Regions from separate parts of the Mus musculus genome. Here all the other regions are reported to be linked to region 1. The links are microRNA targets in miRTarBase. Many come from high-throughput screens and were not tested one by one. Region 1 holds a microRNA gene; each other region holds the end of a gene's coding sequence.
Evidence for each region. The annotated mature microRNA mmu-miR-466f-3p reads CAUACACACACACAUACACAC and lies in region 1 at 1,214-1,234, opposite strand. An mRNA with a match to its seed (bases 2 to 7 or 8) in the 3' UTR can be bound and repressed. Matches are read on the target gene's strand: a 7mer-m8 pairs with bases 2 to 8, a 7mer-A1 pairs with bases 2 to 7 and ends in A, and an 8mer does both.

Region 1 (3,000 bases):
CAATCTCTAACCTCTAGGTTGCATATCATTCACATGGATTGGTAAGTGGCAATTGTGGGTGTGTTTGTGTGTGTGTGCATGTTTGTGTGGGTATGTATGTATATGTATATTCATATATACATACATTTTCATGCACACATAAATATACACACATGCACATACATAGGGGTCATCACATTAACACAAGGCTGATCTCTAACTCATCATGAAGTTATTATGAATTTGAACTCCTGATTCTCCTGACTGTGAGAAATGTTTTTGCCTGGTGAGTGAGATGTCTCACTGGCCCAGTAAATTTACATATTATACAAATGGATCGATGAAAGCCATTTCTGTGTCTGTATCTGCGCATGCGTGTATATGTTTGTGTGTATGTATATGTACATTAATAGACACACATGCACATGCACACAAAACTATATACACATGCACATACATTCATGGGGGACATCCCATGAATTCTAGGCTGATGTCTAACTCATCATGAAATTAAGCATGAATTTCATCTCCTAATCCTCCTGAGTATGGCAAACATTGTTACCTGGTGAGTGAGATCTCTCCCTGGCACTGTCCTGCCTAAACTCTCAAGCTCTAAGACACATATCATTCAAATGGATGTGTGTGTGTGTGCATGAGTGTGTAAGTGTGTGTATATTCATATTCATATACACAAATGAACATGCACACACAAGACACACACCTGCCCATATATAGGGTACAGCCCATGAATCCCAGGCTGATCTTTAACTCATTATGAAGTTAAGCATGATTTTGAACTCTGGATACTGATGCTCTGGCAAGCCTTCCCTGGTGAATGAAAAGTTTCAGTGGCCCAATACTACATAATCTCTAAAGCTCTAAGTCACATATCATTCAAATGGATCAACGAGTGCCATTCCTCTGTGTGTGTTTGTGCTTGCGTTTATACGTGTGTGTGTATGTATATGTATATTCATATACACACATGCACATGCACACACAACTATACACACAGGCACATACATGGGGGGCATCACATGAATCACAGACTAATCTCTAAATTCTCAGGAAGTTGAGCATGAATTTGAATTCCTGATTCTCCTGATTCTGGCAAGCATTTTCACCTTCTGAGTGAGACCATTCACTGGCCCAGTACTGTATAATCTCTAAAACTATAAGTCACATATCATTAAAAGTGATCAGTGAGTGTCATTCATATGTGTGTGTTGCATGTGTGTGTATGTGTGTGTGTATGTGTATGTATATTCATATACACACATGCACATGCACACACACGTAAACACACATGCACATACATATGAATACCAGGATGATCTCTAACTGAAGGTAAGCATGAATTTGAACTTCTGATCCTCCTGACTCTGTCAATCGTTTACACCTGGTGAGTGAGAACATTCACTGTCCCCTATTGCATAATCTCTAAAACTCTAAGTCACATACCATTCAAATGGATTGATAAGTGCCATTCCTGTATGTGTGTGTTTGTGTGTGTGTACGTGCGTGTGTATGTGTGTATGTATATGTATATTCATATACACACATGCACATGCACACACAAGAACACACACAGGCACATACATAGGGGCCATCACATAAATCCCAGGATGATTTCTAAATCTTCATGAAGTTAATTATGAATTTGAACTCTTTATTCTCCTGACTCTGGCAAGCGTTTTTACTTAGTGAGTGAGATGTCTCACTGGCCCAGTATTACATAGTATTGAAAGATCTAATTTACATATCATACAAATGGATTGATAAGTGCCATTCATGTGTGTTTTTCCACGCGTGCATGTCTATGTTAGTGTGTATGTATATTTATATTTATATTATACACACATGCACATGAACACACACGTATATACATAAGCTGCATCACATGATACAGGCTGATCCCTAACTCTTGATGAAGTTAAGCATGAATTTCAACTCCTGATCCTCCTGACTCTGGCAAGGATTTTAGCCTGGTATTTGAAGCCTCACCCTCACTCAATACTACATAATCTCCAAAGCTCTACGTCACATATCATTCAAATGGATTGACAAGTGACATTCCTGCATGTATGTGTGTGCGTCTGTATGTGTATGTGTACATATATTGATATGCACACATGTACATGCACACACAAGTATAAACACATGCACATACATGGGGGGCATGACATGAATCCCAGGCTGATCTCTAACTCATCATGAATTTAACCATGAATTTGAACTCTGAAACATACTGACTGTGGCAAAAGTATTCAGCTAACGAGTGAAACAACACACTGGCCCAGTACTGCATAAGCTCTAAAGCTCTGAGTCACATATTATTCAAAAGGATATATGATGCCATTACTCTAAGTGGTGTGTGTGGGTGGGTGGGTGTGGGTGTGTACATGTGTGTACATGTGTGTATATGCATATTCATATAGAGAAATGAATATGCACACAACTATACACACATGCACATTTTTGGTGGGCATCACATGAATCGCATGCTGATCTCTAACTCATCATGAAGTTAAACATGAATTTGAACTCCAGGACCTCCTGACTCTGGCAAGGGATTTCACCTCCTAACTGAGACATAGCTCTGACCTGGTACTGCATAAGCTCTAAAGCTCTGAGTCACATATCATTCAAAAGGATATATGAGTGCCATTCGTGTGTGCATGCGTGCATATGCATATTCACATAGAGAAGTGAATATGCACACAACTATGCACACATGCACTTTCTTGGTGGGCATCACATGAATCTCATGCTGATCTCTAACTCTTCATGAAGTTAAGCATGAATTTGAACTCTGTAGCCTCCTGACACTGGCAAGAATATTCACCTCCTACCTGAGACATAGCTCTGGCCATTCCTGTGAGTGTGTGTGCATGCGTGTATATGCATATTCATATAGAAAAATGAATATGCACACAACTATACACACATGCATATCCTTGGTGGCCCAGTACTGCAGCATCTCTAAAACTCTAAGTCACTTATCATTCAAATGGATCAATG
Region 2 (3,226 bases), not on the chromosome of region 1:
GACAGACAGAGGGAAAGAAGGCTGTAGTAAAGCCAGCTCTGGAGTCTGCAACTTATTTATTTTGAAGGCAGGGTCTCTTGTAGTCCAGGCTAGCCTCAAACTTAGTATGTAGCTAAGGATGCCCTTGAACTCCTTATCCTCTTGCCTCTACCTTCTGAGTCCAGGGAGTACAGACACGAAGCTACCATGCCTAGCTCGGCAGATCCCAAAGAATTCACTAGTGACCAAGGCCTGCATGGTGTGTGTCCCTAGGCTCGTGCAGAGCTTAGTATCCACTGGCTGACTGATGTCCTTCTCTTTTCAGGCTATGCCTACTTCCTTCGTGGCCATCTCTACTGGAAGTTTGATCCCGTGAAGGTGAAGGTCCTAGAAGGCTTTCCTCGCCCCGTAGGTCCTGACTTCTTTGACTGTGCTGAGCCTGCCAATACTTTCCGCTGACAACACTTTGGATGCATTCAGGGGTACTGACTCCTGCCAGGGCACTTAGATCATGTAAGAGACCCACAGCCATATCTGTGGCTCTGGGCTTCAGGCATGGGACAGACAGGGCCTATGTCTCCTCAGGGGAGTGGGTTGGGGTGCAGCCACTGTTTGTAGGAACGACCATGCTGGTCATGGTCACCTGCCAACAATTGTCTCAGACTAGGCAAAGGCTTTGGTGTTACTTAAAAATAAGGGAGGTTTTGGGCTGGCAATATTTCAGCTACCAATAATCCACAGTCAGCCTGGTTGCCCAAGGTCTCCATCTCTGTCCCTCAAAGTAGAACCCCCACACAAACTCAGGAATCACCTGCAATGAGGTTCCTGTTGGGAGTGGTGTTGGTAATGAGATGCCCAGGGTACCATGCTGCCCCTGCTAAGCAACTGGACCAGTATCTTTCCTGGTAAGTCAGCTCTGGAGAGATAGTGAACTGATCATATTCTGGCAGGTGATTCAGACAAGTGCTTCCTGGAACTCAGGCCAAAAGGTACACAGCCAGCCAAGGAGGCAGCTGCTTCCTCCCAGAGACACGGAACCTCAAAGGCCCCACATACCTCACAGCCTTGCCCCAGGCCATTTCTTTCTGGGGCCCTCTTCCTAGCACAGGTACCCTCTAAGCCATGTACATGTGTATACAGTGTATAAAGACTTTTTTAAAAAAACAAAAAACAAAACCCAAAAAAGCCAAGACTGTCATTAAACATGAGTGTTTTCTAAGCGCCTGTCTGTTTTTCTTTGCAATTTGCAGTCAAGATTTGGGAGTAAGGGTTAGAGCCTTTGTGCCCCAAGACTGTTTCCCTGGGGCTAGGACCCATATTTAGAGTCTCTCCTGTCCCATTCCTGAACAAATAGAGGTATACCCACAGTGGCTTTCTAACTGACTGGCTGTCTCAGCAAAAGCAGTATCATTTTATCAGATCATGCCTAACTACTGGGGGTGGGAGCTGAGGGAGGCATGGTCTCATTATACATCCCTGACTGTCCTGGGACCCACAGAGGTCTGCCTGCCTATGACTCTGGAGTTCTGGGATTAAAAGTGTGAGCCACCCCTGGCCCTTAACCCTCTGGTTCCCATGGCTGTGAGATCAGTGGGCAAACTCCTGGTTACCACAGCCTTTCCTAGTTCTTTAACATCTCCTTCATCATGACCCCAGTCACAATTGCAGTCTCATTAGACTGACCCTTATGAAGCTGGCCACTGTTTGTCCTGCTGCTTTCAGAGAAGTGTTTGTATTTTGCACATCCCACCATGCCCCCACCTCCCCTACACTAGGTTGTTAGTCCCTTTGCTCCCATACACAATGTCACTTTTACTTTAATGTTCTGTGGAATACATATTTTATGTATCTAAGGAAAATCTAGAAAGCACAAATGAGAGAAAACGTATTTGTCTTTCTGAGACTGGCCTGATTTGTTTAATATGATATCTTAGTTGCATCCATTTTCCTGAAAACAATGTAATTTCACTTTTGTGGCTGAAAAACAAAAAACACATGTACACACATTTCACACTCTTTTTTGTTTTCTGGGACAGAGTTGCTCAACATATCCCTGACTGTCTTGGAACTGAAGCTAAAAGCTTGCACCACCACACCCAGCCTAGACTACATTTTCTTCATCCATTCCTCTATTGTTGAATAGCTACCTAGGCTAGGCTATAACTTAAGCTCCTGTAATAGTGCTACAATAAACATTAAACATTTTGGAGTCACGGCTCTGTTCAACAGGGGGTGGACTGCTTGGACACGTTCCAGAAGCACTGTCTTCTCTCGGGGCTGTTATGCCCCAAGGCGGGCAGAGGCACAGACCAGGGCTGGGCTTGTGGGCACCAAGCTTGCAGAGGTAAGGAAGGAATGCAAGTGCCTCCTCCCGTTCATCTGGCACATCACCTAGATCTTTGAATAGTACCAACCTCCATCCAGTATTGTCATTCTTCCCATCCCTACTGCCTCGGGAACTGCTGTTGGCCTGGAGTGGATAGCTAGCTATTCCTAACGCACTTTCGGGTGGAAAACCTGAGGCGCTAGCGTGGGGTCGCCATGCCCACCCAGCTTCCCTCGGGCTTCCAGATAGAGCGGTCCTTCTCCTCGCTTAACGTCTCATTTTTTTCCTTCATCCCGGGGCGGAGTGCCAGCTCTGGCTATGCGACTAGGAAAGCTACCGCCTGAGTCAGGGCCTCAGTGGCTATTTCGGTCGCTGAGAGGTTTTCCTCCTTACCCGCCCAGGGAGGAAGCCTAGGAAGCAAAAAAGAACTCGGGTCCCTTTAAGGGCTTGCGGGAACGCGCTCGGCCTTGAGTCGCGCAGGCTGCGGCGCGCACGTTAGCGTCAGCTTCTCCACGCATGCGCACCGAGGGCGGCCTGCTCGTTGCAGAGACGGCCAAGGAGCCCAGTAGTGACACGAGCGCTCGCCCGGTTCGCCCGGCTTGCCCTGCCCGACCTTCACCTCCAGGCCTCCGTTCCTTTCGGTCCGACGCGCCTCGGCCCCGCCCTAGCCCACCGGATTCTTTCCAGCTCGACCCCGGCTGCCGGTTTCCCCCGCCGCCATGATGATGATGGCGTTGAGCAAGACCTTCGGGCAGAAGCCCGTCAAGTTTCAGCTGGAGGACGACGGGGAGTTCTACATGATCGGCTCCGAGGTAGCCCGCGGCGCGTTCTCGGCTTCCCGGGCAGCGGCTGGCCGGCTCGAGTCCCGGGGCGGGCTAGTGCTCCCCGAGAGCGCGCCTCCATTCATCGCGGAGGCGGGCG
Region 3 (3,226 bases), not on the chromosome of region 1:
CTCTAAGTCATTCCACATTTGCACTCGTATTGGGGGGAAATAAAATCTCTTTGGTTTTCATAAAGATTTGCATAACGAAAAACTACACAATTTCCACTGGGAACTGGGCTACCCCGATGACTCAGAGAGGAGAGTCTGAGAGTCGCTGCAGTGTGTGGCCACTCTTCCTGGCCGGAATTGCATGTGCATGCGCATGGTGGCTCTATGTCAGTGTTCTGAAGAGACAACTACTGCTACAACACCTGTTCCCTTACCTGTCTCTTTCTCTTTTTCTAGCCGGAGGCCACCCCCATCACCAACTCGCCCCACTATAATCCGTCCACTAGAATCCTCACTGTTAGACTAAACGAAGTGTCCGGCATGGCAATTAACCACTAATGATTTATGCAAACGCAGCACATTCGGTAACCTTTGCAGCTCAACCATGAGTAGTCGCATGTATGGACCTCTATAGGCAAGTAGCCAGTCTTACTAATGTGTTCACCAACTCATCTTCATTGCTCATGGTATGTCAGACCTTTGGGGTTTGACTCCGAAAACCTGCTAACCTGTAGAGAGGCTTAAATATGTTGTATTGACCAAGGTAGTTTTATACAGCAGCCCTATACTTTGGTACCATTTGTCTACCCAACATATATCAGAAGTTGCTTTGGAAGAGCTTTCTAAGCTGTCTACAGAGAAGCTTATGACGACTCTTAACAGATACAAGAGTGTGAGCTTGGAACCATACCGACCTTCCGCACATTCTGTTTAGGGCAGCAGAAACTCTGCCTTCTGATGTTAACGCCACCATTCAGTCCGCAATTGCTTATTTAGGCTTCTTCCCCCCACCCCCCTTATTTCATAGGACTGCTTTAAAAAAAAAAAAAAGCAAGGTTCTTAAATCAGCATTGCTGAAGATGAAAGCTTTTCAGGAGCCCGAGGCAGTCTGCAAAGGGCAAGTGCCCAGGGCTTGCCCTGGAGAGCCTCTCCTGGGGCTTGTGTGCTGTGCTTTGTGCTAGAGGCACAAGCACCATCCAGGCAAAGCGTGAGGGGTACTGGCAATCAGTTGATAGATTTGGCTCCTTTCAGAGTTCAAAGAAGAAGCAAAAACTAATTGCCATTCTAAAAGTGTCTGAGAAGATAGAATTTATTATCTTATTATTTACCTCTTTGTGAGCTATGATGAAGGAAGGCTGACACTGCAAGTGTTTAATTTTCCAGTTGATTGGACAGCATGGGTAACTAACTCCGTTTAGTTATTGTGACTATTATTTTGGCTGGAAAAAAGTTAAATGTATGCTAGCACATGATTTCTATGGTTTATATATAAATGATTATACAAGAATCCTTTTTAAAAAACGACTTTAGTGTCTCCACCCATTCCAGACTCCCTTAAATCTTACAGCCTACTCTGACACAATTGCATGGCAAGTATGGAACCTGGTATGGGAAGGTGATCCATCAGCGATGCCATGGTTTAAGAGCACGGCCCACGTGTTTCCAGCTTGCTCCTGAAAAACAACATCCTGGCCATACTGAGCTGCAGAACAAGTCTGTAGCCTCTCAGATCTCTAAACTTTACATGAGCAGCCTAGCCTAGAGGTTATTAGTTCAACCTCGAGGCTACGTTTTGAACTACCTATGACCAGATGGTTAGCACATAGGAACCAGCTAGAAGCCAAATGGAATTCTGTCTGCTAACCGCACCCAGACGGCAGAGCGGGCGGGCTTTCACCGAATTGTAGCGTCCCCAGACATTATTCCATAATCACAAAGGTAAATCAGGTTTTACTAACTGCAACATCTCCTTTTGAAGGCAGTCAACATGATTTGTATGCAAACTTCACTTTAATTTCCTGTGCAGTTTCTACCCGAAGCAAGTGGCTATAAAATATGATGTAAAAACTTTTAACCATTATTTTAAAAAGTTTTTTTTTCCAAGTGAAATGCCACTGCATTGAACTTATTCTAATGGGTTAGATCCCACTTTTAATTGGCAAAAATTAGAGAACATGCAACATACAAAGGGGTATTTTTCAACCTTTAAGTGACATAGAAGAGCTCTAATGTCTCTAAATTTTTTTCCCTGTTGAAAAAAAAACCGTGAATGGAACTCGTATAAGACATGCACATTGTCTTTGAAAACAGTGTCCCAACTAAATGAAAAAAAAAAACATACATTAAGCAAATGTTTATAATCAAACAACTCGTGGGCAATGAGGTCTCCCCACAAATCCCTCCTTTCAGCGCCCCCTTTGCTTCTTCCTCTGAATTCTCTAAAACAGGCAGCTAAGGAAATAGATACTTCAGGGTTTGGCTTTGTCCCTCCTCTGCTTGTACATCTTGCTATATTTCAAACCCTTCCTTCTGTTGGAAGAAACTAACTCAGAAAACCACTGGTGTGTTCTTGAATCAGCACAAACCAATGTCAAGGAAAACTGGGGATTTGTCTCTCCACATTTCTTCCCATTGATCCCAGACGGTCGTGAGCAACGGAATGGCACTTGTCATCCTTAGCTCTTGCTTCTTGATCCACAGATTCCTTGTCCCAAATGTCTCCCTGTGTCAGGACAGTTTTGTTCTCTTTGCTACCGAGCTATAATCCCTTACTCCACCACCCCCTCCCCAGAAGTTCAACACTGGCACCCCAGAATATTTTCAGATTGCTGCAGTTCAGAGGGTTTGCACTCTGCTAACAGCAGACACCAACATGAACGAAGCCTGAGGTTTCACTGGCGTGTGCGGAGTGCACGTCAGGCCTCAGGACGGGAATGTAAGCTTGAAGGACCTTCGCTTCGCACTCAGTTTCTAATCTCTCAGTCAACCTCCTGGTTGAGGACACCAAGGTTGTCAGCGCAATAGATGTAGTTTTATCTTGTCTAGCATAATAATAACTTTAAAAAGTGTTTTTAGGATTTGAAAAGGTACATGGTTGATAAGTAAAAGCCAGCTTTCCTGTCACATGCTAACTTACGCATGCAGATTGGCTAGCTGGAATAGCCAACCATTTGTGGATGGACTATGAAACAGGATCGATTTAGCACAGATATATTTCCAAAAATCATCTACCAAGAATACCTTCTTGGATATTGCCTTTAGGTGTGTTTTATAACATAGAAGAGCAGTGGGGTCTATTTACTGGCAATTTCTCTGTTTCTGCAGATACATACCCATTCTATCCAAAAGTGTAACCAAACAGTTCCTGTGATATAAGCATTCTAAATTTAGAATTAAGAGATAGCCA
Region 4 (3,226 bases), not on the chromosome of region 1:
TTGCGTTGCAAGCACTCTACCCCACATTAAGCCCCCTTTATACCTAATAGAAATGCTGTTTTGAGCGAGGTTTTTTGTTATGGTTTTTTTTTCCTTAGTTTTGAGCGAGGTTTTAGTATGAATTCTGAGCCACACAGCAGACACACCCTTCTGGGGATGCTCAGGATCCTCTCATGCGCCTCAGCTCTTGGCTGGGGTGGGCAGGCAGCAGATACAACCCAGCGATAGAACTTTCTGGGCAGAGGTACAAGGAAGGCTAGACTTCATTCAGCACCGTCAGGTTTTCTTTTCGTGCCCTATTTGAGAGCACTCCCTAGTGCACAATAGACAAGGGCAAAGGGGTCCCGCAAATTAAGGATTAAGGTACACATTCACACCTGCCACGATGGTCTGTTTCTCTTCGATACTGTATCTCAGTTCACCTCTATCCTGTAGGGAGCAGAGGACATCCAGAGTGACTGCCCTATCACGGACCCTTACCTTAGACCCACGAGAATGGCAGAGTCCCCCTGGGTTGAGCATGAGTGTTGATGGTATGTGTAGAACATGTGTACCTTAGCTCCCTGAGCCCCATCCTGATATTTACAGCCTGAGGATTGCTTCCCTACATATGGGGACTGCTCTTGAAGAGATTGGCTAAACCTGTCTCCTTGATCCAGCAGTATACCTCGGATGTTTCCTCCTTTTTTATCTGTATACAACAGCACTGCCTCTTTGTGCTTCTCCATGGAATAAACTCTGAGTTTCTGGGTGCTGGTTTCTCCATCAATGTCCAGTCTACCCAACCCCAGCTTTCCTGTGTGTGTCTGTTTTTCATTCCCTTTCTGCCCTGGTCAGGTCGGACCCTAGAGCTGTGTGGGCGAAGGGTCTTCCCACTGTATTAAGATCAATTGATTTTCATAAACAAAAGGGATGCTGGTCTGATCACAGCTGTTATGTACATGGGCACATTCACAGTACAAGGATGAAAACTCACAGGTTCAGTTTGGAAGTATTAAGGTTACAGTTACAGGTGATCAACTTTAACACAGAAACTGCTAGACAGCAGCTTTACAATGTGTTTGTATACATCCAAGTAACCCAAGGAGACGGCACCAGCAAGACATAACAGTCTGTTACTGTCAATCATTTGAATCTACAGGAGAGAACTGAAGAGGAGAGCTGTCTGTTCCGTTAGGAGGCGGGACATCCCAGTGACAGACACTACTGAACAGTTGGCACATCTTTGCTGCCAGCTGAGCCCCTTTGAAACAATGTTTTAGGCTCTAGGAGTGGTCAACTCTAGACTAGCTTTGTAGTAAGCTCCTTGACTACATCATACTACGGAGAACAATACTACAGGGCAGCAGAAAGCTTGGATCTGAGGAGCTAGGGCTGTACTAAGTACAGCACTTGGCTAGTGGGCACAAGGCCTAGATTTCGGCAGCACCGCAAAAATGGAAAAGTAAAAGTTCAAGGGTACAAATAGTTTATACCTGTTTTTACATTACATAGATTTTACATTACACAATTCACAAAGCCATCATATATATGTGTATATGTGTGTATATATATACACACACACACACATATGTATGTGTGACATATAAATCATACATATATTTGTGCCAGTTGAATGGATGAGTTTACATTTCTCAAATGTTAGAAGGTGAGACACTGTTTCCTCCCATTACAGAGAACACCAGGCAAGTGTCTCCAGATGCAGAGACAAGTCAGGTTTTTGTCAGACTTCTCAAATACTAGTACTTTCTACAAACTTCATTTCAGAAGGCAAAATTAACAGCAAGGTCCAATGGTTCAAATGGCTGAGCTTCTTAAAATACCAAAAAAAATCACGTGCCAGTGTCTACTGGTTTCTAATGTAATAGACTGTAATGACATTTCTTCAGGGTGTACCCTATGTCAAAGTGAAATCTTTACCCCTGGCCTTCATATCACCTGTCCCCTCAAAGGACTGAAAATGAGCACTTAAATCCGTAGCATGGCAAAGAATGCATGAACAGCCACTGGGTCCCTCAGGACCACCTCACCTCTTAGTCACCTAACCACGAAGCAGTCAGGGACTTTCAGATTAAAATGCAATGTCACAGTCCAAGGGGACCTCCTTCAGACAGCACATAATCTACAGCATCACTTCTGTCTATCACAGGCCCTTCCTTGTTTTCCATGACAACACTTTAAAAATGTGGCATTTCTTATATATACAAAGTTCAATGGTAGTCCTTAAAATGGCAAACACAAATGGTTGTCTGCTATAAAGTGTGCACTCTAATCTACAGAAAAACAATGAGCACAAGCAAGAATCTGTTCAAGTCAAGACGACCACTCAATGAATACCCTGGCCTTTGACCACAGAAAGGGAGCTTAATCTTGATTGTTTCTCTGACCACCATTTATGTCACAACAGTTTCAATAAACTACAGCTTATTGAACGCTGCTTTTTATATATAGTCACCTCCATAGAAAAACTTCATCTGCAAATAGAAGGTAGAGGGTTGGTTTTTTTTTTTCCTCACAGCTATAGGCTGTAACACGGATTTCTCCAGGTATCATTGGAGAACAGAAAATATGGCACTCAATTCCAGATTCTAAGAAAACTGTCCCAGGAGCCAGTGGCCACAGCCATGCCGTCATCAGTCACACCTAAGCAGCTAACACGGTTGTCATGACCAGCAAGGACACCTACAAAGAAAGATCAATAGAGAGTTAAAACTGAAGTTTTAGAACTGCAAAAATAGTTCTGCATTATGATGCAGATGGTGATCAAAAAAGCAGTCATTCTGGGAAGACTAGTGCTAGAGCCAAGTCCAGCATATGGACACAACACACCACAAGCTATTGGAATTTTTTACATCATTTGTGAACATCTGTTTGTGTTTTCAAAATTTTAAAAGTCAGTGTTAAAAAAAAAATCGAAGACAGGGTCTCACATAGTCCAGGCTGATCTTGACCTCGCTACCCGGCCAGAAATCATCTTCAAATCCCCATCTTCCTATTTCTGCCTACAAGAGCAGGGGTGGCACCTGGTGTTTAGTAACTTCTCTATCTAGGGAGTCATGTAAAGGCAACTCCACATCTCCAGTAAGTTCGTGACAGTCCACTTTTGAAAAAGTATTTTTATTTGCCTGAGAAATTTATTGTCTCTGATGCTCACTGCCTCGGTCTGCTAACATAGGCCTAGTCCTGGAAGCTTCTAGCCTCCATACAATCCTTACTCCATCTTGAA

Region 2: miRTarBase lists Mmp11 as a target of mmu-miR-466f-3p. Seed matches in the 3' UTR shown: 8mer at 1,109-1,116 and 7mer-A1 at 1,119-1,125.
Region 3: the mRNA of Dnm3 is a reported target of mmu-miR-466f-3p. The part of its 3' UTR that is shown has no 7-base or 8-base seed match.
Region 4: miRTarBase lists Gnb4 as a target of mmu-miR-466f-3p. Seed matches in the 3' UTR shown: 8mer at 1,552-1,559.

What each region holds. Positions count from the first base shown.
Region 1 is chr2:10,465,232-10,468,231 of GRCm38, reverse strand. It overlaps Mir466f-1 (microRNA 466f-1), which reads right to left and starts at 1,288; the gene lies at 1,195-1,288. The region is part of intron 10 of Sfmbt2 (Scm-like with four mbt domains 2); the gene reads right to left. Mir466m (microRNA 466m) reads right to left here and starts at 1,569; the gene lies at 1,486-1,569. It overlaps Mir669f (microRNA 669f), which reads right to left and starts at 1,003; the gene lies at 883-1,003. It also overlaps Mir669e and Mir669b.
Region 2 is chr10:75,921,194-75,924,419 of GRCm38, reverse strand. It overlaps Mmp11 (matrix metallopeptidase 11), which reads left to right. Exons shown (of 8, transcript NM_008606.3): 8 at 305-1,198. The coding sequence ends at 438. It overlaps Smarcb1 (SWI/SNF related, matrix associated, actin dependent regulator of chromatin, subfamily b, member 1), which reads left to right and starts at 2,806. Exons shown (of 9, transcript NM_011418.2): 1 at 2,806-3,117. The coding sequence starts at 3,025.
Region 3 is chr1:161,989,142-161,992,367 of GRCm38, reverse strand. It overlaps Dnm3 (dynamin 3), which reads left to right. Exons shown (of 21, transcript NM_001038619.2): 21 at 277-3,226. The coding sequence ends at 346. Among named protein-coding and RNA genes, the nearest start is that of 4930558K02Rik, 11 kb to the right of the region's middle.
Region 4 is chr3:32,582,545-32,585,770 of GRCm38, forward strand. Gnb4 (guanine nucleotide binding protein (G protein), beta 4) reads right to left here. Exons shown (of 10, transcript NM_013531.5): 10 at 1-2,682. The coding sequence ends at 2,576. Among named protein-coding and RNA genes, the nearest start is that of Gnb4, 32 kb to the right of the region's middle.